7 linked regions of the Macaca fascicularis genome follow. The protein of the gene in region 6 binds, or shares a complex with, the protein of the main gene of each other region. Links are inferred from orthologs where the notes say so. Each region holds a gene or a part of one and is shown on either strand. Other genes may lie near its edges. The genes, in order: TMEM186, TMEM126B, ACAD9, TIMM21, SURF1, COA1 and SMIM20.

Region 1 (4,241 bases), on a different chromosome or scaffold from region 6:
CCTCCCGAGTAGCTGGGACTACAGGTGCCTGCCACTACACTCGGCTAATTTTTTTGTGTATTTTTTAGTGGAGACGGGGTTTCACCATTAGCCAGGATGGTCTCGATCTCCTGACCTTGTGATCCACCCGCCTCAGCCTCCCAAAGTGCTGGGATTACAGGTGTGAGCCACCGCGCCCGGCAATAAAACATTCTTATTGACTTTCGAGTGGCAAAATAATAAAGATCATCATGCCTTCCTTCCTCTTTACTGTGTTACCAATTGCATAACGAACATGTATTATTAATTATGCAAGGCAATGCATATAACTGGCTTTAGTTTATAAAAGAACATACCAGCATACAGTCCATTAGGCTTTATTACACTGCAGGGCCATCCAAAGCAAGAGCCTCTAGATCTCAGGGTGGTGAACAAATCTCAAATGGGGTTTCGTGCTCACTTGGATGACATCGCTGCTCATCGATGTGTAGTTAACATCCTGGCAGACCTTTCTGCTGCTGGATGTGTGAGGGGCACAGCACAGGGCTCTGGAAGTCCCTGCTGACTGCTCGAAGCCTTTCTCCATGCCAAAACCTCTGACCAAATGCTTAATGCTATCTGCTCTAGGCTGCTGAGTCTGCCACACGTTTGACATTTATTCCCACATCCATCCCATGAAACAAGCAGGGCTTTCCATTTTACAGATGTGAAAACCACGGTTCAAAGAGACTCAATAACCCACCCCAGGACAAGTGACAGAACTGAGACTTCTGACTCCAAATCCTATGCTCCCCCACCACACCTCTTTGCCTTTCAATTTCACACCAATGGACTGTCTGGGTGACCCTGGCATAGGTTCTTCTAAGAACTGGCTCTTAACAAAAACTTCTGGCCATTATCTGACTGAATGTCACAAACGAGTGCTGTAAGAACTTGCTTAGAGCCTTTTTCCTAAATCTGGACACCAGCTCTTGCCTTGTGAATTTCTTCATCACAAAACACACGTTCCCAGGGGCCCAGGCAAAGTCTCCAAGTACCCAATCCCCTTTCTTCAGCTGTGCCCACACCCTCAGCCTTCCTATCAATCCAGGTGACCCAGGGTTACCCAGAGGCCCAGGCCCCAGTTGTTTACTTGAACATCTGATGTCTCCCAAACACCTGCGTGAAACGCTCTCTGTCCAGGATGTGTCCATAGCGCAGGGTGACGTAGAAGGTCTGTTTCCCGCTGTACCGCTGGATACGCATGAACATCTCCTGAGGCTGGTCCTTGGTTTCTGTCAGGGGAATCACATCTGCCAGGGGACAGTATGTGTCCTGCCGCCAGCCCCAGAAGCTCAGATGGGCCACCCGCAGCATGGTGCCAGACTCATTCAGATACAGGATACCAACCAGTCTCCGAAAGAAATAGCTCATCCAGCAAAGCATGGTCAGGGCAAAGCCCGATATCCCACTCATCAGGCACACGGTGTTGAGAGTCAGGAGGCCCTGGGAATACCAGTAACAGGCTGGTGGCAAAACTACCACTGTCAGGGCAGTCTGTGCCAACTTCAGTCGAGACAGGAACCCAAAGATTCTGATGGCATCAAAACGGTAAAACATCCAGAATTTCTCAGTCTCTTGGTTTGGTGGTTTCTCCTTCGAGGTGGGTGACCTGCTCCCCACCCACCTCTTAGGATCCTCCTGCCCACTGCAGCACCACAGCCCATGGAGAGGCCTTTCCCACGCAGCTTTTCCCCGAAATCTAGGCACAACTCGGAGAAGGGCAGCCTGAAAGGGAGACAGTAGACGATTTCTCTCATGGAATTCAACCACATTAATCACACGGTGAACATCTGCAAAGCACCATACTCGAAGGCTTCTGCCAATCCTGCAAGGTCACCATTATTGCCAGAGGAAGGAAGGGTAAAGCCAGATGTTATCTCATGTGGGCATCACAACAGCTATCTAAGATAGTTATCACTATTTCCACTTTACCACTAGGGAAACTAAGCCCAGAGAGGGTAAGATATTTACCAAAGAACACACAGTCAGTGAGTGCAGCAGAGTCCTCCTTCCATCAGGCAATTCCAAAGAAATACAAGAAAGGAGGTGCGGCCATCAATAATTCAAAACATATCTAGGGAGTCCCAACTCTGGGCTGGACAATGGATCCACAAGGGGGTGTGAACATTTCCCCAAGCAGGAAACTGAATAATCAATGTCTTAGTGGGGAACTCAAGCAACAAATCTGTGAGACAGCTATCCCAACAAACTTTCTAATTCTGTTTACGTTATCTTGGGTGCTGGAGGGAACTGCTGCTTTCCCTTAACCTAGTCAGGGGAAGGGGAAACAACGAGGAGGAGGAGGAGCGGGGCAGGGAGGCCCCTACACGTAGCACAAACATATTATTAGGTGGGTAGTGAAGCAGTAAAAGCTCTGGTTCCAATTCTGGCTCCATCAGTCACTACCTGTGGATTCTTGAGCAAATCACTCCACACCCCTGAGCTTCGGTTTCTTCGGCTTTCAAAATGGGGACTCAGAACACAGTGAACGAGAAGATGGTTTCAAAGCCCTCAACTTAGTACCTGATGCGCTGTGAGAGCTCGGCGAGTTTTAGCTATTACTACTGTGAGCACGTGACGCAAGGAGGGCAGAGAAAGCCCGGGAATGGCGAATGGTAACCCACGCCAGAGCTTCCTCCCACGGATTCTTCAGGTCCGAAACTCAGGCGTCGTGCCTGCCTGCCCCAGCTCTGACCCCGACCGACCCCCAAAGAGCATCACCCCCTCAAGGATCGCCACCAGCCTCCTTACCATGGCTCCACAGCCTGCTGCCGGAAGTAAATCCCACCGGCCCCCGGAACCTCTAAGAGCGCATGCTCGAATGTACAAGGCGGGCGTGATCCGCGTTGCACCCTGGGATTTGCGGTCCAGGAATCGTGGCTGGCGCTAGTCCCAGGCGTTGTGGGAACGGAGTCTCCTCCTCTTCCCGACGTGCCCTGCGGCTCGGGGGCCGAACTCGGAAGTTCCGGGCCGAGTTCCTGATGTCAACGAGTCTTGCGAGGTGCGGTTAGACGCTGGGGACATGGCAGCGCCTGGCCCAGCGCTCTGCCTCTTCGACGTGGATGGGACCCTCACCGCCCCACGGCAGGTAAGTGGCGCCCGGCGGGCTGGTGGCAGCCGACTCAGAGTCCGTGCTGTTCCCAGTTGGAGCTATCGACTACCCAGGGTCGGCGCTAAGGGCTGGCTAAGGACCGCCTGCGTCCTCACGGGGGCTGGACCCTATTCTAGGTGCCCTGGAGGGATGAGAGGGAGGCCCTAACCAGCTCTTCAAGAGCTCTGATGCTTGGAAAGATGAGACGGGGCTGAAGAACTCTTAAGAGAAGGAAACTTATGCTTGGTTGGAAAATGCAATCTAGACTCACCGCTAGTCCTCGGGACCGATGGACCAGGATTTGAACCCGACATCAGCTGTGTGCCCCTTATCAGCTGTTTTCCGGCCTCAATCCTGTAACCAATGGGCTGTGCCGTGAGTCATTATATTAAAAACAGGTTTCCAGGTGAAATCGACCTAGTGGAGTCTCATCTTCACCTCTTCACAGCTGTGTGACCTTGAGCAAATCATTAACCTTTCTGAGCCTCAGCATCTACAGCTTTAAATGGGGATATTACGTGTTCCATATGGTGACTGTGAGGATCAAATGAGATTGTGTAAGTTCTTGAAAGTATGTTGCACACAGCACACTAGGCCTCAGTAAATAGTAACCACCTCCACCACACCCATCTCCAGCCCCTGCAGTGGACTAGGAAGATGGAGGAGCCCTAGGTTATTACAGGCTGCCCGCTGAGAGCCTCTTTGGGCCTTTGGAAACTTGCTTTCCACTTCCAGATTTTGCTGCTACAGGCACAGATAAGTTTCAGTCACTATCAGCCTTGAGATGAGGCTTTCCTGTCCCCTTTTCAGAAATTGGCCACTGACAACCGGCCATTTCAACTTGAGACTGGACCCCAATGGTCTCACTATCCTCAACTAATATCCTCACCCCTCGTAGTCTTCGCTTGGTGGTAACTATGGTGTGCTCCAGAAAGCCACGTCAAATGCGTGTGACCTTAGACGTATCATTTTGCCCTTCTCAGCCACAGTTTTGATCTACCTAGTGATGACACTCAACTCCCAAGTTCTTCAAAGGCTTTTTCTGATTCTGAAATTCAGCTATCACACACTTGGGGTTGTTAAAAGCCCATAGTGGTCTAATACTCCGGTCCCCAATTCATTTTTTGTA
Region 2 (2,163 bases), on a different chromosome or scaffold from region 6:
AGGCTCTATCAATTACTAGTTGTGAAACTCAAGGTAAGGTGAAGGGCAGGAAATAACATTAAAAGCCCATAATATGACAGATATTGTGGTAGTCATTTAACCTACAGTATCTTTTAATTCTCACAAAATCCTGTGAGGTGAGTACTATTAGCCCTAATTCATAGATAAGACAAGGGAGGCTCAGAGATGAAATTACTTGCTGAATGTCACAAAACTTAAGTGGCAGGAGGTAGGATACTGAAATGATGTTTGTTATATGCCACAGTCAATTCTTTTCCCAGTATGTTGTTTATTAGTGTACTTGAACATGCCTCAGTTTGGGTTGCTTGCTTATCTACAAAAAGAAAAAAATACGATTTACCTAATTAGGAGGATTGTTGCAGGGATTAAATACGACAAGGTATATGAAGGGACTTTACAAACTGTATAGCACTATATAAATGTAAAGAATTATTATTAGCAGTAGCAACAGCATATGTTAATCAGTAACTTTACTTAGACAAAACTACATTATACATTAGTGAATTTAAATTCACCTGAATACAAAGGATCAATTACAAGAAGCTTGTAAGTAACTACAGTAGACAAAAATGGAAGTGTAGCCAATGATGCATATGTTTTCAAAGCATCGTGTTTAACCTTGAAGCAGCGTCTGAACAGGAAGTTTGAGAATATTCCAGAGAAACCAGCTGTTGTTCCAAATGACGTCATTTGATATATATTTGGTGTCCTAATAGAAAAAAAGAAAAATTCAGTTCACTGTAACATTGAACTTAATGGATACAGCCTTTCCTAAAAAGTTGTTATTGCATATTTACTCAATATGAAATACTTCTTGAGCACTTACTATGTGAAAAGTATTTTCTAAGTGCTTAAGATAGGGCAGTAAACAAGGCAAAAGAAAAAAAGAAAAGGAAAGAAATTTCCCACCCCTCATAGAACTTGTATTCCAATGAGAGGACATGATTCTCTTTCTGATAATATTTACAGTAGTTCTAAAATAGAGCTCTTTTAAATAATTTTGGTCACAAATAAATATAAATATGCTCCAATGTAGCCAAATTTTATGAGTTACCCAAATCGAAGAATACCTTTCCTGCAACTAAAAGATTTACTTTGCTTAAGTTCAGCTAAAAAAAAGCTATTTACATTTGGTTAGGCCTTCTATTTCTGCATTAGTCCCAGATACATTTAAAATAATTTGTCCAAGATTTAGAAAATTTCATCCAAAAAAATCTGATCTAGTTTTCTTATTAAGACCCATACCTAAATCCAGGAAATAAGATCAACTGTCCTTTGGTTTTATTCTTGAACTCCATTCATTTAAAAGTCAAAATGGCCAGTCTGGCCAACATGGTGAAACCATCTCTACTAAAAATACAAAAATTAGCTGGGTGTGGTGGTACACGCCTGTAATCTCAGCTACTTGGGAGGCTGAGGCAGGAGAATCACTTGAATCTGGGAGATGGAGATTACAGTGAGCCGAGATTGTGCCACTGCACTCCAGCCTGGGTGACAGAGTGAGACTCTTATCTCAAAAAAAAAAAAAAGTCAATATGTTAATGTGAGACTATATTTATACTATGAAATCTGTATTCCCTTTTGCTGTACTAAGTACTGTGGCTGAGATAATCAATCCTTAACTGATTATAATTACTCACCAATTAAATATAAGTACCCCCCCAATGATTTTCTCTTACTTTTAATTAAAATATATTTACTGCACAAATGTTTTAGCAATACTTTTGGATACTTTTTAAGAAACAAAAGAAATTATCCACAATCCCAAATATTCCAACAAACCACTATTTTCATCTGTTCTTGTTTCCCTCATTCTTTTTTTTAAGGATGTGTTCTTCATAACCAACTCAAAGAATAGGATAACAAAGAATAGGATCTCAGAAACAATGGCAATACAAAAGACTTGCAAATAAAATGATTTTCAGCCTGGGTATTTCTCTTACATTTCTTTTCTAAGATAGTCAAAATTTTTTTCTATGATTTCTATGATCATTGGTCTTCTGAGTTTTGCATCTTCTAGAGAAGGACTGGGTTGACCATGCATAGATGCTGTCATCTTGACATCCTGGAAAAAAAAATTCCAGAGCCATAATAGCTAATGATATTCATATTACATAAAACCTTACAGAATTCTACAGATTC
Region 3 (4,154 bases), on a different chromosome or scaffold from region 6:
CCTCAAAGTAGAGAAAACCAGATCTTCTGTGGAATTAGACGTGAACTAGGAGAATAAGAGTACAAGGTGACGCCAGGTGTTCTGTCTGAACAGGTGGAACAACAGAGCCACCATTATCTATGATAAAAGAAGGCTGGTGGAAGGACCAGGATTGGGTGGGAACCAGGAACTCAGTTTTGGATCTATTAATCTCAAACGCCTGTGAAACCTCTTAGCAGAGCTTTTGAGTACAAAGGTAGATTTAAAAAAGGACCTTGGCTGGGTGTGGCAGGGCGTGCCTAGTCCCAGCTACTGGGGATGCTGAGGTGGGAGGATCTCTTGAGCCTAGGAGTTCAAGGTTGCAGTGAGCTATGATGGTACCACTGCACTCCAGCCCGGGTGACAGAGGAAGGCCCCAACTCTGAAAAAGCAAAAGGAATCTGGAGCTCAGGGAGAAATCTGAACTGGAAAAAGAAATTTGAGGCATCAGGATATTGATGATATTTAAAGCCAGGACACTAAATAAGGTCACCCAGGAGATGGTTGTAGATGAAAAGACATCCACAGACCCAGCCTTAGTAAATTCCAACTTGGCTAGTTGGAAACACTGGTCATTGTTTAGCAGTAAAGGAGCTAAAAAAGAACTAGCAATTGACACAGAGAAGTATCAGTCAGTGAAGTATTTAGAACATTCAGAGAACGATGAGAATAGTGATTCAGAAACTAGAGAAGAAAGTGTGTCAACAGGGTAGAAGAACGAACAGCGTCAGATGCCAATGATGGGCCAAGTAGGATGAGGTCTGAGAACAGATCACACGATTTGACAACAGAGAGGTCACTACTGACTTCCATGGCCATTAGGGACAAACGTCTGAATGGTAAGGTCTCAAGATCCAGTAGAGAGAACAGTTAATGATTCCGAGAAAGGAAAGAATTACCCTTGAGTAGGTGAGAAGGCCTGGGGTCTAATGAGAGGTTGGTTTTGCCAGAAGCAGACAGTTCAGTCATAGTAACAGAATGTAGATAATATGGGCACATGCAGGGGGAGGGGGTAACTATGCCTGTGAAGTTCTCATCTGACTGCATGGATTTTCTCAGTGGAACGGGAAGCAAAGCTGACAGCTGAGAGTAAGGGCAGGGCAGGTGGTGCCAAAGGTTTATGATGGAAACAGATCTGAAGGATTTGTGTTCTTTCTTCACCATGCTGCTGGAAAGCAGGAGGTCCCAGGATAGAGCACCACACTGCCCCAGGTCCTGGGTAAAAGGGTTTCCCATATGTCAAAGACATAGCTCTGCACCTTCTAGCCGGGCAAACTGCTTTTAGTCTGAGTCTTAGCTTCTGCATCAATAAGGTTGCTTGCTATAAAGGGATCAGCCTGACAACCTCAGAGGAATGTTCCAAAGAGAAGCCAGGGAATAACTTCCGTGATAGAGGATCAGCCAACATTCAGCCAAGCTCAAAGCAGGGCACCTCGAGGAAATAGCAAGTATACTGTTGCTTTCCTTAGAAGATAAAATAAAACACAAAGGAAAAAGCAAGAAATGTGTTTATTCCTATTTTGTAGATGAAGGCACTGAGGCACAGGGAGGTGAAACCATCAGCTCCAAGGTCACAAGACTAGTAAGTGTTGAAGCCAGTTCTCTCTTCTTCTGCACAGTACTCTACAGTTTAAGACGACTCTCCATGCACCATTTATCTCACTGGGGCTCTACAACACCTCTGTGAAGGAGACACAACACTATCTCCATTTTAAGGCTGAAAGAACTGAGTCTCGGCCGGGAGTGGTGGCTCACGCCTGTAATCCTAGTACTTTGGAAAGCCGAGGCGGGTGGACCACCTGAGATCAGGAGTTCGAGACCAGCTTTGCCAACACGGTGAAACTCCATCTCTGCTAAAAATACAAAAAAAAAAAAAAAACCGGGCATGGTGGCGGGCGCCTGTAATCCCAGCTACTCCGGAGGCTGAGGCAGGAGAATCGCTTGAACCCAGGAGGCGGAGGTTGTAGTGAGTACTCCAGCCTGGGCGACAAGAGCAAGACTCTGTCTCAAAAAAAAGAACTGAGTTTCAAAGTCAACGAGCCAAGACCAAACCCGTCTTCCAACTCTAAGAGGACAATGAGTGTTTTATAACCAAACTGTTACTACTGGCAGGGTTGTGCGACGCCCGGGAAGCATCTTGGAGCCAGATTTCTGAGGAACCTCAATGGCTGGGAGAGGCGCTACGGCTCAACTGGGGAAGGAAGCCCCAGGGCGCTGGAAGGTGACTGAGGAGGGACACGGTCTAAACTGTTTAGGAATAAGAGAGGAAGCCCCGCACATTTCCAGACCAGACCAGCTGAGATGAAGGCTGCTTTGTAAATTACCTAGCCTAGAGTTTTCCAAATTCTGACAAAATTTACACTTCCAAGGGTCCCCCGTCTAGGAAATGTCCCACCCTTTCTCTGGGAAGGTTTTCCTGGAACTCAGGAATCCAGAGTGTTAACACGCCTCGCCTGCAGGGTGTGTCTCTCTGGCAGGTTTGGGGAATCCGACAAAGCTGAACACCAATCTTGCAGCTGAGGATGAAAAGCGGGAGCCAGACAGCAAGGATTCGCCCAGGGCTCGCGTTACCTTCTTGATTTTGCCCAGGAAAAGCTCTTTGGCGAAAGCTCGTATAGGCGGGCTGGTGCGCAGTAGCCGCCGGTTCGCGGTAGAGACCACCAGACCCCGGCAGGCACGAGCCGCAGCCGTGGTACGCAAGAAGAGCCTGCACCAGCTCATGCCGCCCGCTGTTCCCCGGCCTCAGGCTCCACTTCTTACTTGGCGCAGCAGGGACACACACATGGTCCGCAACGTCGGATGACGTTACTGGCCCGCGACGCTGTGCAGTACTCACTGCGCTTGCGCGGTCTACCGCAACAGGGGATGGAGAGGCCAGAAGGGCTTGACGGCTGCCACCTTCCGCGGCCAAGGCCGTAGTCATGTGCACCTGGCTGGTCCGCGCTGACTGATGACGTCACGTGCCCGCGCTGACTGATGACGTCACGTGTCCACGCTTCCCTCCGGTCCCACTGTGCTTGCGCGGCCAGAGTTGCTGGGCGGAGAAAATTGGAGGGTCGGGGCCGCGGGCATGTTGGCGGGTATGAGCTCCGGCCGTCGTGACGGCTGTGAGGGACCTGTTTTTCACATACCAGCAGTTGTTTCCATAAATGCTAGCCATGGGAAATCTCCCTGTGTACAGAAACCTAAAGGCCGGCCCAGCTGCTTCCCCTTGCCTCTTTTGTCACTTGCGGCCGCGAGGCTGTGGTAAAACTTGAGGAAAGCAAAAGAATGGGGGAAATGCGCGGTATTGGGGTCTCTGCAGGGGCACGGTAAGGATAAGGTTCCATTTTTAACTGGATGGTGAATTCCTGAGATACTGTTTTGTACCTAGTTGACAAATAATTTTCTGGAAGAGGAAAAGAAAATGGGTGTTCAGTCACAGAGCGGTCTGGATAAAACTGAGTCACGGCCGGGCGCGGTGGCTCACGCCTGTAATCCCGGCACTTTGGGAGGCCGAGGCGGGCGGATCACAGGGTCAGGAGATCGAGACCACGGTGAAACCCCGTCTCTATTAAAAATACAAAAAAATAGCCGGGCGCGGTGGCGGGCTCCTGTAGTCCCAGTTACTCGGGAGACTGAGGCAGGAGAATGGCGTGAACCCGGGAGGCGGAGCTTGCAGTGAGCCGAGATCGCGCCACTGCACTCCAGCCTTGGGGACAGAGCGAGACTCCGTCTCAAAAAAAAAAAAAACAAAACTGAGTCACCTCTGTCTTGGGAAACACTGAAAAGGCAGGTGGAGGAAGAGAAACTACAGAGGGAGCTGAGAAGAGATGGGAACTATTGGATGGGATGGGACAGGCCAGGCTGTAGCCGCCCACTTGCCCGCTGACTAGATAGCTGATTTATCAAGACAGGGGAATGGCAATAAGAAAGAGTAATTCACGCAGAGCCAGCTGTGCTGGAGAGGGAGTTTTAATAGCCAAATCAGTCTCCCCGAAAACACGAATCGGAATTTTTAAGGATAATTTGGCGAGTAGGAACTCGAAGTGGAGGGTGCTGATTGGTCGGGTTGGCGATGGAATGATAGGGGGTCGAAGTGAGTTTTTCTTGCTGTCTTCTATTCCTGGGTGGGATTGCAGAACTCGTTGAGCCAG
Region 4 (4,145 bases), on a different chromosome or scaffold from region 6:
AACCTCAGATGACTCCTGAGGCTGAAGGCAGTTGCTCTAATGCAAAGCTCTGAACATTGCCCCGGTTTCTGGACCTGAACCAGTTTTCAGACCTGGAACCCATTTACTGAAGGAAAGTGTATGTGACTGACTACCCCGGTCCTTCACCAAAAGGACCTATAGTTATCAACTTGGACATAGTCTGTGCTGACAGTGATATCCAAGGACCCAAAGAGTCATGATGACCCCCCGACCACCCCCCACCCCCCCGACAGCATGTAAGAAGCTCACAGCTGGGTCCAGGGACTTATCTGGTAATAATTTCCTTGATTTCCAAATGTATAAATCAAGGGGATGTACTGAGTAATTGGCAACAATAACTCCCACTTTAGTTCCTTTGGAAGTGGGTTAAGAGCTATCAGAGTGGGAAAAGTCAAATGGAAGCCTCTGAAACTGCCCCAGTGACCAAGGTAATAAATTAAAAATGGTATCACATCCATGGGGAATGGCAGAAAGAGTGCAATTCTTAGAGACCTTAGATACAGGCATGGTGGCCCCTATCACAGTCCCTTGTAATTTACCAGTCTTCCTTTACAAAACACAAATAGGCGCTGGAGAATGACAGTGGTTAACTGCAAACTTAACCAAGTGGCAGCCGGGGTACACATGCAATACCACACATGGTAACTTTACACGGCAGTGCATTAACACAATCTCATGGTATTGGCCATTGATTTGAAGAATGCCTTCTATTCAGAAGCAGCAGCAGGAGTAGTGTGTAGTAACATGAAACAGATAATAACAGTGTATGTTTATGATCCTGACCAGGATTTGCTAATTCTCTCACCCTCTGTTGTTACAGTCTTAAGGGAGTGAAACTTTCTGGATCTGGGCTGTCTAATACAGTAGCCACTCACCACTCATGGGTATTTCAGTTCAATTTTAAATTAATTAAAATTCAGTTCTTCAGTAACATAATTTAGCAACATTTCAAGTGCTCAAAATAGCTACAAGTGGCCAGGAACTACCCAAATGGACACCATAAATATAGGACATTTCTATGACTGCAGAAAGTTTTATTTGAATAATGCTGTTCTGGACATTCAGCAGAATATCACATTTGTCTACTATGTTTACACTATCGTGTTAGAGCCCAGAAGTAACAAGTGGCAAGTGTGTTAGAAGGCTTGGTCAGACAAGCTGCAAGTGTGAGAGGTGGGCCCAACAAAGATGCAGAGGCTCACCAACACATGAGCTGACCTCATGGGGCTACACTGGGGTGTGCCAGGACATGCCCTCCCAAGTAAAAGACAATTGTACCCTATACCTACTACCACAATGTTTCTTTGAATTCTGGACACAGCATATTCCATATTTGGGAATGTTGCTCCCATCCATTCATTCAGCAACAAGGACTGTCACCTCTGAATGGGGTGCAGATCAGGGAAGGGGTCCCTAAGCAGGCCTGGCATGCAGTGCAAGCAGCAGCACTGTTGCCTGAGCCAGATTACCTGACACACATGCTGTTTGCCACTTCTATGCCTTTCACCTCTGCATACGGATTGTTCCTTCGTGCTGAACTATTACAAATGAAAAACTAGGTTTTTGGCATATTCAGCAGATTACAAAACAATTGGTAGAATATGATTCAATTTTTTGGGTTAAAAATTATTAAAAGGTATGTGTATGAAAGTGCAAAATGTTAAAAATAGTCATCTTTGTGTGGTATAATCATGGGGTCTAAATTGCTTTGTCCTTTTTTTCCTACAAATCACATGCGAAATGAAGAAATTAAAAAAAAATCTTAAAATATCTGTGAACATATCTCTGACTTTCCCTGACAAATTACATTCCATCCTCCCTAGTTTATGTTTTTCTATTATTGCAGGTAACATACGAAAGTTTTCCCTATTGATTATGAGTCAATAAGCTCTCTCTCTCTTTTTATCCTATCCAATTACTCTTTATTATATGTAACAGAGCCAATACAACTTGAGAAAAATTTCCCAAACATAACGAAAGAAAGTTATATCAAATTCAAGATCAACTTTCAAATCTGAGTTCCAATCTGTGAAGAAAACTGTAGGTCTATATGTTCTAGCTCTAAATTATGTTTAAACGGCTTTTAAAAATTCATGTTAATTGCTTTTTCACCTTTAGTAGTGAACTTGGTGTAAAAGAGCATTGGCAGCTCTTGTCACGTCTGTTGAAAGACCAATCATTGAAGTACTCCTTTTTACCTTTTTGTGATGTTGGGACGGCGGTTCCCTCTCTTTGACTCCTGTGTACAGACACTTGTTTGCTGCTACCCTCCTTTGCTTTCCGGGGGCTCGGTCCCTGCGTCCAGATGGTTTTCTGAGTGACTCCAAGAATACATCTAGGTCGCACTGTTTTCTTTTGATATTGAAGCCCCCATCTCAAACTGGGCTCAGTCTTCAAGCACGCTTTGTTAAGCACAATGTGGGGCAAAAGCAATCGCTTTGCCGAGGACCTGTGCAGCTTCTCCGTATACTGTATGGCTCGTAGAAAAGTACAAATCATGTTCACAGAAAATCGTTCCGCTTAGGGACGATGCTAACTACAATTAGGAAAGTTTTCGGGTTCACTACACATCTGGCCGGACACGTACTCAAACCTATACGTTTACATTACATGGCGTGTTAGGCAAAAACGTTGGCTTCAGCAGCGTAAATGAAAACGAAAAATCTCCAGGGAGAACCTGCTGTCTACCTTCCCTTCTGTTTTCTTTGAATCAACACGCTCTGATTACCTTCTGGGCTGACATTCACAGTGTCCCCGCCATGTCTTCGCAAAGTCACCTGGGAAACCCCCCGTCTTCCTGGGAATAGTAGTTTGAAGACCTCGCTCTTAACTGGGATGCGGCAATGGGGCGCGCACAAGAGACTACATCTCCCACAATTCAAGGCGGCCAGAGCACGGCGCAGGCCGTTCCCGCGCCCCCAGGCGCTTCCGTGCCCAGCGCCTGCGCAGACGCTGCGCGTCCTTGGAGAGGCGGGAAGGCGGGGAGTTGGTGGGGTAATTGGTACCACAGACCCTACGTAATTCAAGCGGGACTTGCAAAAGCCAAATTAGCAGTTACACACTACGTGTTTTCCTTATCCTTCTAGAGTGGACTGTGCACAGTGGGAAGTACTCCCTCTGACTGTGGTCTTCTCTATTCCGCGTGGGCAAATGATTTCGTTTTTGCATTTCACTGTGTTTTCAGAAAAGCCGGACAAAAAAGAGTCAGCAAGTGGAGATGAACGAGGCCGCTGCAAAGCAGGCACCGGTTTCCTAAATGGTTAAGCCGAGGACTTGCTTAGCGCCCTTGGTGGCAGAATGTAGGGGTGGGGAAAGAAGCTGGGGCCCGGAAGTTTCTAGAAGCCCGCTTTGCGAGCGGCTGTCTGGCGCGGTGCCGTCTGCGCACGCGCCAGGCCAGCGGTACTTTTGTGAACTTGCGCATGGGCGTAAGGGGGTGTGGCGACGCGCGGGCGTGGGGGCGGTGCGTGCCCTCCTAGTTTCCGCCCTTGAGCGGGTCTATGGTGAACTCGTCTCCATGGCGACTGGACGCGGTCGGATCTTGCAGCAGCACTGGCTCGGCCTCCAGACGCTGCGCGGGCCCAGCAGGGGAGGTGGCGCGGCCCGGGGGCGCGCCAGGACCTTTGGGTTCAGGTGACTGTAGGGCCTGCGGGTGGGGTCCGCTGGCGGGAAGCCCCTCACTGCGCGGCCCCACTCTCTCCACCGTGTATTTTATTCGTCCAGCTTGGCACAACGCCCGCGGCCCTCTTCAACGTGAGAAGGGTCTGGAAGAACGACCGGAGGAAATCCTTTCTACCCTGCAATGTGGGGTTCCCTAAGTTATAACACAAGTAGAGTAGCCTCTCGGGGAAATATTTTTTCTCGCGGCGCCTGTGGTCGGGGTTACGCTCACTTGCCACGACAGCTGCCGGTCCAAGAGGTGCTTCTCCGGGGTGCGTGCCATAGATTCACGTGTGCCCCGCCCCTGCCTTCGTATTTTTGCTCTTCTGTGACCAAGAATCTCCCTTCGTCTTTTTCATGACCTTACAACTTAGGGAAGTAGAGTCTGCTCATCAAAACCTTATAAATTTACACCCTCATCCCCCAAGCAGATACCTCTGGCAGGCAGGTTGGTCTGGCGGGTAGGG
Region 5 (4,098 bases), on a different chromosome or scaffold from region 6:
AGGGTGGCAGACTACACAGCCCACCAGGGCCAGACAAGTAAAGGAGAAAGGCAAAGGGCATGCGCTCTAAAGGGGAAGTGGCCCTCATGCCATGTGGGAATGGGGATCTGCACTGCCAGAGTCCAGCTTTACAAGAGAAGCTAAAAATCTGGACTCCTCAATGAATATGTGAAATTTTAAAAAAATATGTGGGCCAAAATCCCACCTGCAAGCCAAATCTGGCATACTGTTTGCTACTCTGAATGGCAAATGTGGTTGAATATACCTGTCTCTGTAGGGCATATTCTAGGGAGAGAGCAGACAAATCATTTAGGGCACTTTTTCAAAAGACCACCCTCACAGTGAGACCTACATTATCTGTCCTCAGCCACAGAGCCTTGGGCCCTGTGGAGGATAAGTTCACTACACCTGAAAAAAGGGTGACACCCAGGATGCAAAGTAAGACTTTCCTCCATATGTCAGGAGGTGGCCTCAGGTAGCTTCACAAGGGCAGTCACGTGTCAAGAGCAAGCCCAACAGGATGACTGATGAGAGCTCCACCTGAGGTCAAGGCAGTGACTAAAAGTCCCGCCAAAAGGGGCAGGCTGGCCAGCAGAAGCCAGGGCTCTGCTGTTGAACTCAAGTGAGACTGGCCCTGGGGGGCAGCCACATACTCACTCTGCTGGCAGAGGGACAGGCTCAGCCAGAACTCGAGACTCCAACTCTGCAATCAGGTTCAGCTTCCACTTCCGACGTTGGACCTGCAGTGACAGAGCATAAGCCCAAGCAGATGGCAGCAGGGTCAAGGGCCCAGAGTTATGCACACCAGATGCCAGTCTTTACCTGCCATGTCCCCAAGCCAAAGGCAGTCACAGGGATGAGGAGCAGGACCCACTGAAGAAAGGAGTCATCTTCCGCTTTTGTGGCAGATGCTTCTGCTGCAGAACTGCCACATCTGCTTGGCCTCCAGGCCACCCCTGGAGAAAGTTTCACAACACTGACATGGGGCCAGGAGCCCTTGAACAGATAACCTGGAGCAGCCAGTTCCAAGATAGACTCCAGTACTACCAATCAAAACCTGCTTCCTAGAGCCAACTAGCAGCACCTGTACACAGCCCAGCTCCTAACCCAGTGCCCAGGACATGGCACACACTGAGTATGTTTGCCAACTGAGTGAGATCTAGGGCTCAGTGCTGGCTTGGCCACCAACCACGACCCTGGGTAACTCATGCCTTTTTACTCAAGAATATAGATGTATTCCACTGCGCTAAGATGCACCATTCATCCATTCAAAATGCATTTAATAAATAGCTACAGTTGGCCGGGCGTGGTGGCTCACGCCCATAATCCCAGCACTTTGGGAGGCCAAGGCGGGCAGATCACAAGGTCGGGAGTTTGAGACCAGCCTGACCAATATGGGAAAACCCTGTCTCTACTAAAAATACAAAAATCAGCCTGGCATGGTGGCACATGCCTGTAATCCCAACTACTCGGGAGGCTGAAGCAGGAAAATCGCTTGAATCTGGGAGGAGGTGGTTGCCGTGAGCAGATTGTTCCACTGCACTCCAGCCTGGGCAATTAGAGCGAACCTGTCTCAAAAAATAAAAAACAAAAAATAAGCAGCTACAGTTACTAAGTAGCTTAACCAGGCACTAGTGGTTATTGTGTTATGTAGAGAAACATGTCAGCTCAGAGTAATGGCTCACAGAGCTCTCTTAACAGCTTTCCATTTTTACAACTCATCGTAAATGTGAAGATGGAAGAATGTACACAGAAGGTGCCTTTAAGCTCTCAGAGGGTGAGTCCCATCCGCTGAAAAGCACCAGCGACCTTGCCGATACTATTTATTAAAAAAAAAAAAAAAAAAGGACGGGCGCGGTGGCTCACACCTGTAATCCCAGCACTTTGGGAGGCCGAGGCGGGCGGAGCACGAGGTCAGGAGATCGAGACCATCCTGACTAACACGGTGAAACCCCGTCTCTACTAAAAATACACACACACAAAATTAGCTGGGTGTGGTGACGGGCGCCTGTAGTCCCAGCGACTCGGGAGGCTGAGGCAGGAGAATGGCGTGAACCTGGGAGGCGGAGCTTGCAGTGAGCCGGGATAGCTCCACTGCACTCTAGCCTGGGCAACAGCGCGAGACTCCGTCTCAAAAAAAAAAAAAAAAAAACGCAGGTCTGCGGCAGGCTTGCACAGCACTCTACACATGGCAAAATAACCTGTGCTGCACACTGAGAGGAACACGTAAGCCGCAGTGTTTAGATGCGCTTTACTTTCAGAGCCCTGGGCTTTCAGCCTGGGCTGGCCACCCATTAGCTGGATGTGACGTTAGAAAGTAATTCTCGAGCCTTCTCTGTAACATAGGAACGACCAAGGAGCTACCCCTCGCGTTGTTGTGAGGACAAAGCGCTCGCTACATGCCCGGCACACGACCACAGTTCCACTGAAAGCATTTTAATATGGAACTTGTCACTCCCAGGGAACCTCCGCTCAGCCGGCAGTTGGCTCATTTCAATCCCCACGACACTCCTTCAAAGCGCAGGGCAGACAGCAGGTGGCTCTGCCCATGCGCCTAGATCACCGCCTGGCCTGCGGCCCTCACCTGGGCGCGGGGACATCCCGAGGACGCTCCTCCAGGCGGCGCTGGCAGGGGCCTGCGGACACGGACGGGCGGGCTGAGCTCCGGGACCCCTCCCCTCGCCCCGTACCGCCCTCTCGTCCCCGGCGCCCCGCGCTCACCCGTCCCAGCCCCGCCGCCCGCAGCCCCAGCTGCAGCGCAGCCACCGCCGCCATCGCACCCGGCCCCGCGGGCTCTTCCGGGACGCAGGAGGCATCTGCTTCCGGGTCGCCGCCGAGTCCCGCCCAGAGCCCCGCTCCCGGCCCCAAGTTCTGGGAGCTGCTTCCGCCGGGGTGGTCTGCGGGCGCCTCGGCCATGAGCGAGTTGCCGGCCGACGTGGAGGCCTTCCTGCGCGAGCACCCGAGCCTGCGGCTCCAGCCGGACGCCCGCAAGGTTCGCGGCGCGGGAGGGGAATGGAGTGGTGGAGAAGGGCGCAGTTGGGATGAGGGGCTGAGGGGAGGGCGGGAGAAAGGACGCGGCGAGGTCAGGGGAGGGGAAGGAAGGGGGCGCCGCAGGAGGGGGCACCGGGGAGCGGGAGTGACAGGAGCCCCGGCCCTCCTGACCGCCTGCCCGTGCGTCAGCAGGTGAGGTGCATCTTGACTGGTCATGAGCTGCCCTGCCGCCTGCCGGAGCTCCAGGTGTACACCCGCGGCAAAAAGTACCAGCGGCTGGTCCGCGCCTCCCCGGCCTTCGACTTTGCAGAGTTCGAGCCGCACATCGTGCCCAGCACCAAGAACCCGTAGGTGGTCCGCGGCGGCGTGGGGAGGCCCAGGGCAATTAGGACAGCCCCTCCGCTGGTGCCCCCCCGGTGCCTGAACCCCCTCTAAGGGAGGTTCCCGGGAGGGCTCGGCTGAGGACAGGTCCTGGGTGGTAAACCCCAAAGTTCCCTCCTCCTGAGGACTCCGCCAGTGCTGCAGCTCCCACTCTTTCAGAGTTGGGAGCCCTGGGATCCAGGTGGTCGCCCGGGTGCTGGAGTCACCTGCGATCCTGGCGAGGCCTCTCGGTGAGCTCGTTTGCTTTTCGGTAAACCTGAGGTTTGTCTTGTGGGGTGTGGCTGCTTCACAGAGGAGTAGAGGCTTGTGCTTTGTCACCTGAGGTTGTGAACAGCGTTGGGTTCTCCTGTTGACCCCAGAAGGGATCTTTGATTTACCTGGGAACTAGGGTTGGTAATAATCGTCAAAACAGAGATGGGATCTTTCCATTCATTGAGCACTTGGCCAGGTGGAGTCGTCCTCTTGCGTGAACTCATCTTGGAGCAGTCAGCGAGGCTGCCATGCCTACTTTTCCGGTAAACATTAAGAGGCTGCAGTTGGCCTGGGTCAGCGGTTCCCTGCCCAGCTTCAGAGTGGAATTGCTCCGGGAGCCTTTAAAAGCCCTATGCCCAAGCCGCATGGTACACCGTCCCCGGTAGACCGTCCAGGGATGAGTCCAAGACACAGCCACCAGTCTGAATCCTTGCTGTGAACTATCCCTACAAACTTGGTTTCTCTGCTCTGTAG
Region 6 (3,034 bases):
TTTTCAGTAGAGACGAGATTTCACCATGTTGGCCAGGCCTCCTGACCTCAGGTGATCCACCTGCCTCGGCCTCCCAAAGTGCTGGGATTATAGGCATGAGCCACCACGCCCAGCCAGATGCTGTTACCTTCAAACTAACTTTCCTAAGTTAACTTTATGTGTATATGTACACACACAAATTTTCTAAGCTTTCAAAATGTTTGGAATAAAAATTATTTTGCAAATCTTCAACTGGGCAGATGGCTGGTATCTGAAATAGAAATAAATGCAAACAAAATATTCCAAAGTGATGGAGAATGTCCACAAGCTACTTAACAACATGAATTCAAGGTACAGTGAAAAACCAAACTGGTCTTCCTCATCATTCTCATGTCAATAATTTAGAAAAAATCCCTTCAGTACTACTGAGCTTCAGGCTTTGTAATGAAGACTGAAAATTCCAGGGGAAAGGAAGAGGAAGAGAAAGGAAAGAAATGAGAACCAGCAAAGATCAACAAACATTTCATTAATTCTGATTCCTTTTATCATTTGCTTTTTTATACAAAGCACTTTCAAATCAATTATCTTAAATTTGTAATAGGGGTTTCTTTCGGATTCAGTTTAAAAATGACAAATAGCATTCGTTGTGCCCAAGTTGGAATTATACCAAAATTACCATGTGCTGGCACATACAATCATCCCGCTGGTGGCTGGAAAACTGGGTTGCAGGAGTGTCTGCCACTCAGATGGGCCACCACCCCAGTGGGCATATGGTAGAGATGAGGGAAGGATGGACTAGAAGCACGCTGGGTCTGCTGGGTCTTCTGGGTCGTCTCTACTCCTTTTTCACTTCGTCACCGTTTTCCCCACTGAGCTTGAACACAGGAATCTGCTGACCATCCTTGAGCTCTAAAAAGACCTCGTCAAGGTGCCACCTGAGAGAAACCAGAAGTACAGTATCTCTAATCTATGAACACTGAGGCAACGGCCATAGTCAAAAAAAGGGGTGCAGAAAGCAGTTGTTTTGAATAATGCCTTAAATTTTTGTAAACATTTTGTGTGAGTGCTGTGTCAACACAATTCGTAACATTCTACCATGGGCTCTCATTATTTAACCAGCTTCGACTTCGAGGCAGGCTTAACAATGACAGGCGAATGGAAGGGACACCAGGAAGGAGAAGGAGCAGTTTATTTCTCATTTCCTAATTCACACTGACCTTCAGTTCCTGGCATGGAATCCAGTCAGCTCGTGCACTAATCCCAGGCTCAGAGGTCAGTGAGCCCAGGGTGAGCTAGGTGGGCCCGCCTGCTCCTTTTGTCCTTGGGAATTAAAACACAGCCTGGCTAAACAGCAAGCATCTATGAGAGAGGCTTCCCGTGGGGGAAGTGAGTGGATGTAGCTACTGGCAACCAGACAAGCAAAGCCAATTAAGGGGTGGAGAGCTTATGCAAAGAATGTGATGAATAAATTCTGGAACAAGAATCCATGCCCTTTATTCATTTGTAACAATCGAGGCAGTGAAGTGAGAAGCTGTAACATAGCATCAAATTATGACAGACCTAGATCACTATAACTGGAAAGTTTTATGAATTCAACGGCATAAGGAGAGGGCAATTCAGTAGACTGTATGGATAAACTGGACTCAACTAAGAGCCGCAGTACTGGCTTGCTGCCCAGGCCACGAAGCTTTCAGCTTCAAGCTTGAAAAACAGTTCTTCCTATGCCCACAGCAATTTACCAACAAATGAAAACAGAGTCGGGGTTGCTTCCATCAGGAAGTCCTCCTCCCACCCCCCGGACTGCCGTCACCTTCCCAGAATACCTCTGAAAGGGGCCACCTCTGGAGGAGTGGACGTAGAGAAGGCCCTCTGACTTGGATCCAGAGACAGGAATCTTCAACTGTGGTGTAAAATGACAGAAAGGAGAGATGTAATTGGATACATTATTGTCATTTCAGAAGATGATGACAAAATGATGCTTTCTAGAGCTAAGCCTATAAAATCCAGTGATTCTCCACAGAAGTGAGTTGTTTTCTAACAGCCCAGCTGGAGAATCCACTTGATTTTCCAAATGTCCTGCCCCTCTTTGGTTGGCTGGTAAGGTCAATGGCAGTCTCTGCATTTGGCAAGGAGGCCTCCTATGATCCTACTTCCAATGATCGCTCAAAAGTCCACTGTTAAAAAGGAGCAAACTCCTGACACACGCAGCAACATGGATGAGTATCAAAAACACGCCAAGTCAAAGGGCTTTACACAGGAGGAGTATATAACTATTTATTTTAATTCTACAACAGGCTAAACTATGCTGGAAACCTGTTATTTTGATGGATTACAAAGTAATTTTCAAACATCAAAAAAAAAAAAAAGAAAAGTGACTGCCTCTGGTAGAGCTGGAAGATGTGAGAAGGAACCCACTGGGTAGGAAACGAGGGAATTCAGGTGCTGGGAGCAATCTACATCTAGATAACGGCTTGAGTGACACGACTGGGTGTATTTGTTAAAACTCATCAGAGATAGGACACTTGGATTTGTGCCTTTCACAGACTGTAAATTTTACCTCAAAAAAAAAAAAAAACCAAAAAACTAGGCACCATAACAAATATTAAACTCCACTTAATGATGTACGTGCTTACATGTATAATGTTTGAAAATTACTTTGTAATCCATCAAAATAACACTATAGACTCATGGAAACAGAGCAAAATGCTAACTGTAGAATCCAGGTACCAGCTATAGGTGCTCACAGTATAAATTATTTTATCTTTTTTGTACATTTGAAATTTTTCATAATAAAATACCAAAAGAAAATTCACTGTTTTAAAGAGGAACCTATTGCCAGCAAATTGGTACATATTTTGACCTGGACCCTAAAGAACAGGCTTTAAGGAAAATATAATACATGAAGGCTTGTCTGGGAAAGACGACACGGAGTCCTGGGTTTCTCCTTCATCCCCAGCACCACAGGCTGGGTTCGCACCACAGGGTGCTGCCAGGTGCTGCCATGCCCGTGCCCAGGCAGTCGGCCTGACAGCCCCTAAGCACTTGTTTGATTACA
Region 7 (4,080 bases), on a different chromosome or scaffold from region 6:
TTATCTTTTTATGGATATGTTCTATCTCTTCATCTATGCGACAGGATCCTGGAGAGCAGGGGTCACATCTTATTCATCTTCGTGTCGCCTTAGCACTCTGCCTGGTGTTCGGGGCATGGCAGATAGTCCATGAATCTGGGGAGAGATTGGATAACTGATTTACATGCTTCTGGAGCCACAGAGGTAGACGGTAGCTTGATGCAACTACAAGATTACAAAGACAGAGGAAACCTGTCCTCTCCAAGCTATTTTGAAACGCTTGTAGATCTGTTGTGGCGTAAATAATGCTACTAGGGTCAAGATAGATATCCTCTTTGCTCCCCAGGCCCAGCTGCTGGCATGATTCCGGCTTATAAAGGCGTGGAGGCCCAAGGAATCTGGGTCTCAGCTGCGCAGTCTCCCTGTGCAAGTCACAGTCAGGCACAGCCCACCGGTAAGGGCAGTGAGGTGCAGAGGGCAGAGGATGGCAACTTGAGGAAGAGGAAACAGGTATCTGTCCTCAGTGGCCCCCACCCAGACAATACGGCAGTGCTCCGTGGCCCCATGGATGGAACCGGACGATGGCTCTCTGCCTTGGCCAAGGCATCCCAGCACAGGCAACAGGGAGAGAGGATGGGATGGAAAAAGAGAGTAGCTCGGATGCTGAAACGACGTTCCTCCTAGGCTAGTCTTGGTGCAGAAGCCCCGGGGCTCCGGTTTTAGAATCCCCCAGCAGGCCCTCTTGGGCCAGAGATTTGTCCCTTTGTCCCTCATACGTACAAACCTCCCTCAAGAAGGACGAGTGAGTGGTCCAAAGCCGCGCAGCGGAGCCGCGGTTCCCTCTCCTGTAAACTAAGCCGACTGATACAAGGATTAATTGCGCGAGCGACAGAGAGCATCCGGCGCACGGCGGACAGTCGCTAAATAAGAAATTAATGGGGGATGGACGAGAAAGCTGGCTGGTTAAGAAGGGGATGGTAAAGGAGGTCTGGAGGGTGCTGGGTGGAGGTGCTGAAGGAGGAACCGGGCCGAAGGAAGGAAAGCAGACAGAACAGGGCCCGCGGGAATCGAGCGCAGCAAAACAACTCCAACCTCAAACCAACGCCAGCACCGGGCCAACACAGCACGGAAGCCCGGGGAAGGTGGAGGGCGGGGTCCGAGGCTCCGCCTGTGACCCCACCCCTTTCATGCCCCCGCCCCTTCCAGTCATGAGGCCCCGCCTCTGACTCCACCCCTGTCTCGCTCCCCGCTTCGCCCCTCCTCCTCGTCCCTCCCCCAAGGCCCGGAAGCGAAAGCCTCTCAGCCTCTTCCGAGCGGGGTCACGGGCCGGCCGTCGGTAGCCAGGTTTCCGAGAGTGCGGGGCGGTCGGCGGGTCAGGGCAGCCCGGGGCGCAACGCCATGTCCCGGAACCTGCGCACCGCGCTCATTTTCGGCGGCTTCGTCTCCCTGATCGGCGCCGCCTTCTATCCCATCTACTTCCGACCCCTAATGAGATTGGAAGACTACAGTGAGTGATCTCTGACCCCGTGCGGTGACCTGACCCCCCCATACACACCTCCCCCTCCGTGAGCTCCACGTGGTGCCGTGGAAAGAACTTGGCTCGAGGGTTAGGGAGAGCCAGGTTCGAATCCTGCCATGTGCAGCTTTGTGACCGTGGACAAGTTGCTCAACCTCTGGGACCCTCAGTATCCTCATCTGTGAATATTAATAACTACATCATCTATAGTAAAGTGCCGAGCCTCCTGTGAGACTCAGGTGGTCATGTATATGAAAGCAGTCCTCTCAGAAGTCAACGCTAAGTACTAGTTCATATTTACAGTTAAAATTCACTGCATGCCTATTATACGTCAGGTTAGGCATATGTTGGATCGTTTCATTTGCACAAGCTCACCTTGAAGTATGTATGTAAAACATACCCATTTTACAAATAAGGGAACTGAGGCTCAGAGGTTTTATAACGTTCCCAAGGTCACACAGCAAGTGACAAGGCAAATATATCCTACCCCAGGCCGCTGTCCGGAGTCTTCTTGGAGCATTTAGGCTGGAAATGGTGACTGGGGGAGCCAGATGGAACCCTGATCCTCCTGAGCAGAAAGGTGCTTTTACTGCACTTCATTTCCACTCCCAAAGATGTTTTTTGAGCGGGACTGTTTCAAACCCAAATGTTAACCTGGGGCTTTTACTTTTTTCTCTTCTTTTTCCTCAAATTGTTTCTCCGATTCTGCTGGTTTCCTTCGTTTTAAGCCGGTTGCTCACATGTTAATGGTGAATATCCTGGGAGTAATTTTCCTTCTTAATCATTCCAGTCCTATCATTCTAAAAGCCAAACTCTTCTTCCTTGAGACCTATATCTCAGCAAGGATTAGCACTTTCATACATCTGAAACCATCTGTCAGAGAGAAAATATTAGGCATTAGAGGCTCATTTTTGTTCACCAGGAAACTCGAATCGTCTTGAAGATGGAAGAGGGCCAACCCTGCCCTTTGGGAATATTAACGGACACTGAAAGCTTGGCGAATTGAAGGCGAAAGCTCCGTGTAAACGTTCTGCCCATTGCAAATGTTACAGCAGTCGGTTTCTGGAGGCAGAGCGTTTTAAGTGCCCACTCAGATTTCCTTGTAGCTTCTTCTCATTAGCCAAGACTGAAATGGCCACTGTGTTCTGCCTTCCAGCTTATCTGCATGCACCATGTGTGGGAGTAAGGTGGGCTGTGTGATGCCCTGCGGGATCTGTTGCCACCATCCTTCTTCACCGGACGCCTGCCCCAGCGATTATATTAAGGCCACTAGAACTTGGGACAAAGGGTCTGCTTTGCATCCCATTGGAAAAGTCAGTTCTGAAAACTAGAGCTGTTGGTTCTTATCTAGGAGTGATTTTGTCCCTCAGGCTATTTGGCTCAATCTGGAGACATTTTTGCCTGTCACAGCTTGGGATGGGGGTGTCAAGTGTTGCTACTGGTTTCTTGTGGATAGACGCCAGGGATACTGCTAAACTTTTTGCAGTGCATACAAGACAGACCCCCATGACAAAGAATTACCCAGCTTAAAATTCGAGTGGTGCCTTGGTTGAGAAACCCTGCTTGAGGTGAGATGGTCAAGATGTGGGCGTGTACTGTGTATCCTAGTAACAGTCCTTTAGGGATACTCCAGAATCTGTGGTTGTCTGAATGTCTTGAGACAGACAAATCAGGTGATGTTCATCGGTGGGTGAACATTTAGTGAATGTAACTATAATATCTGCATGTTTAACTGGAAGGCAGTCTGTGCCTTCCCGCTTTTCTGGTCCTTTTTTTTTTTTTTTTCTTTTTTTCCGCTGTCACCCAGGGTGGAGTGCAGTGGCCTCATTTCAGCGCACTGCGGTCTCCTCCTCCCACGTTCAAGCAGTTCTCCTGCTTCAGCCTCCTGAGTAGCTGAAATTACAGGCGCCCACCACCATGCCCAACTAATTTTTGTATTTTTTAGTAGAGATGGGGTTTGGCCATGTTGGCCAGGCTGGTCTTGAACTCCTGACCTCAGGTGATCCACCTGCCTTGGCCTCCCTAAGTGTTGGGATTATAGGTGTGAGCCACCATTCCCAGCCTCTGGTTCCATTTTGATTAATTTGGCCAACTCTGTTCTGGGGATCATAACTGATTCTTTTTTCTGAGACAGAGTCTTGCTCTGTCACCCAGGCTGGAGTGCAGTGGCATGATCTTGGCTCGCTGCAACCTCTGCCTCCCGGGTTCAAGCAATTCTTGTGCCTCAGCCTCCCAAGTAGCTGGGAATCAGGTGTGCACCACCAGTCCTGGCTGATTTTTGTATTTTTAGTAGAGACAGGGTTCTGCTATGTTTGCCACATTGGTCTTAAGTGCTTCACCTCAAGCGATCTTTCTGCCTCAGCCTCCCAAAGTGGTAGTGTTACAAACTGACTGCTGTAACATTTGTAATGGGCAGAGTGTTTACACAGGGTTTTTGCCTTCAGTGCTGGCAACTGATTCTTTTAAACAGGTAAATATTGCTGAACAGGTAATATTTGTGGGAAGTTTACTGTATGTTTGGCACTCTTGTAAGCACTTCCTATGTATTAACCCATTTAGTGTTGGTAACAGCCCTTTGTGGCAGC

The links.
Region 1: COA1 (region 6) and TMEM186 share a complex: the UniProt entries of both Homo sapiens proteins name them as parts of the mitochondrial complex. The link is inferred for Macaca fascicularis from reciprocal best matches to the Homo sapiens genes COA1 and TMEM186.
Region 2: COA1 (region 6) and TMEM126B share a complex: the UniProt entries of both Homo sapiens proteins name them as parts of the mitochondrial complex. The link is inferred for Macaca fascicularis from reciprocal best matches to the Homo sapiens genes COA1 and TMEM126B.
Region 3: COA1 (region 6) and ACAD9 share a complex: the UniProt entries of both Homo sapiens proteins name them as parts of the mitochondrial complex. The link is inferred for Macaca fascicularis from reciprocal best matches to the Homo sapiens genes COA1 and ACAD9.
Region 4: COA1 (region 6) and TIMM21 share a complex: the UniProt entries of both Homo sapiens proteins name them as parts of the MITRAC (mitochondrial translation regulation assembly intermediate of cytochrome c oxidase complex) complex. The link is inferred for Macaca fascicularis from reciprocal best matches to the Homo sapiens genes COA1 and TIMM21.
Region 5: COA1 (region 6) and SURF1 share a complex: the UniProt entries of both Homo sapiens proteins name them as parts of the MITRAC (mitochondrial translation regulation assembly intermediate of cytochrome c oxidase complex) complex. The link is inferred for Macaca fascicularis from reciprocal best matches to the Homo sapiens genes COA1 and SURF1.
Region 7: COA1 (region 6) and SMIM20 share a complex: the UniProt entries of both Homo sapiens proteins name them as parts of the MITRAC (mitochondrial translation regulation assembly intermediate of cytochrome c oxidase complex) complex. The link is inferred for Macaca fascicularis from reciprocal best matches to the Homo sapiens genes COA1 and SMIM20.

The regions. Positions count from the first base shown.
Region 1 is NC_088394.1:9,562,800-9,567,040, forward strand, and holds TMEM186 (transmembrane protein 186), read right to left. Parts: upstream 2,801-4,241; 5' UTR 2,776-2,800; coding exon 2,773-2,775; exon of another isoform or gene 2,428-2,772; intron 1,747-2,427; coding exon 1,108-1,746; 3' UTR 341-1,107; downstream 1-340. Other genes in the region: PMM2 (phosphomannomutase 2), read left to right, coding at 3,044-3,109. UniProt on the Homo sapiens protein: As part of the MCIA complex, required for efficient assembly of the mitochondrial complex I.
Region 2 is NC_088388.1:84,674,325-84,676,487, reverse strand, and holds part of TMEM126B (complex I assembly factor TMEM126B, mitochondrial), read right to left. Parts: intron 2,087-2,163; coding exon 1,965-2,086; intron 731-1,964; coding exon 537-730; intron 335-536; coding exon of another isoform or gene 293-334; exon of another isoform or gene 148-292; intron 1-147. UniProt on the Homo sapiens protein: As part of the MCIA complex, involved in the assembly of the mitochondrial complex I. Participates in constructing the membrane arm of complex I.
Region 3 is NC_088376.1:154,551,988-154,556,141, forward strand, and holds the start of ACAD9 (complex I assembly factor ACAD9, mitochondrial), read right to left. Parts: upstream 2,801-4,154; 5' UTR 2,740-2,800; coding exon 2,590-2,739; intron 1-2,589. UniProt on the Homo sapiens protein: As part of the MCIA complex, primarily participates in the assembly of the mitochondrial complex I and therefore plays a role in oxidative phosphorylation.
Region 4 is NC_088392.1:6,591,316-6,595,460, forward strand, and holds the start of TIMM21 (mitochondrial import inner membrane translocase subunit Tim21), read right to left. Parts: upstream 2,801-4,145; 5' UTR 2,521-2,800; coding exon 2,220-2,520; intron 1-2,219. Other genes in the region: FBXO15 (F-box only protein 15), read left to right, coding at 3,536-3,651. UniProt on the Homo sapiens protein: Participates in the translocation of transit peptide-containing proteins across the mitochondrial inner membrane.
Region 5 is NC_088389.1:6,019,001-6,023,098, reverse strand, and holds the start of SURF1 (surfeit locus protein 1), read right to left. Parts: upstream 2,801-4,098; 5' UTR 2,776-2,800; coding exon 2,722-2,775; intron 2,637-2,721; coding exon 2,585-2,636; intron 957-2,584; coding exon 823-956; intron 741-822; coding exon 658-740; intron 1-657. Other genes in the region: SURF2 (surfeit locus protein 2), read left to right, coding at 2,915-2,992, 3,184-3,338, 3,532-3,602, 3,821-3,887. UniProt on the Homo sapiens protein: Component of the MITRAC (mitochondrial translation regulation assembly intermediate of cytochrome c oxidase complex) complex, that regulates cytochrome c oxidase assembly.
Region 6 is NC_088377.1:86,615,668-86,618,701, reverse strand, and holds the end of COA1 (cytochrome c oxidase assembly factor 1 homolog), read right to left. Parts: intron 1,880-3,034; coding exon 1,803-1,879; intron 915-1,802; coding exon 815-914; 3' UTR 501-814; downstream 1-500. UniProt on the Homo sapiens protein: Component of the MITRAC (mitochondrial translation regulation assembly intermediate of cytochrome c oxidase complex) complex, that regulates cytochrome c oxidase assembly.
Region 7 is NC_088379.1:25,047,341-25,051,420, forward strand, and holds the start of SMIM20 (small integral membrane protein 20), read left to right. Parts: upstream 1-1,280; 5' UTR 1,281-1,377; coding exon 1,378-1,486; intron 1,487-4,080.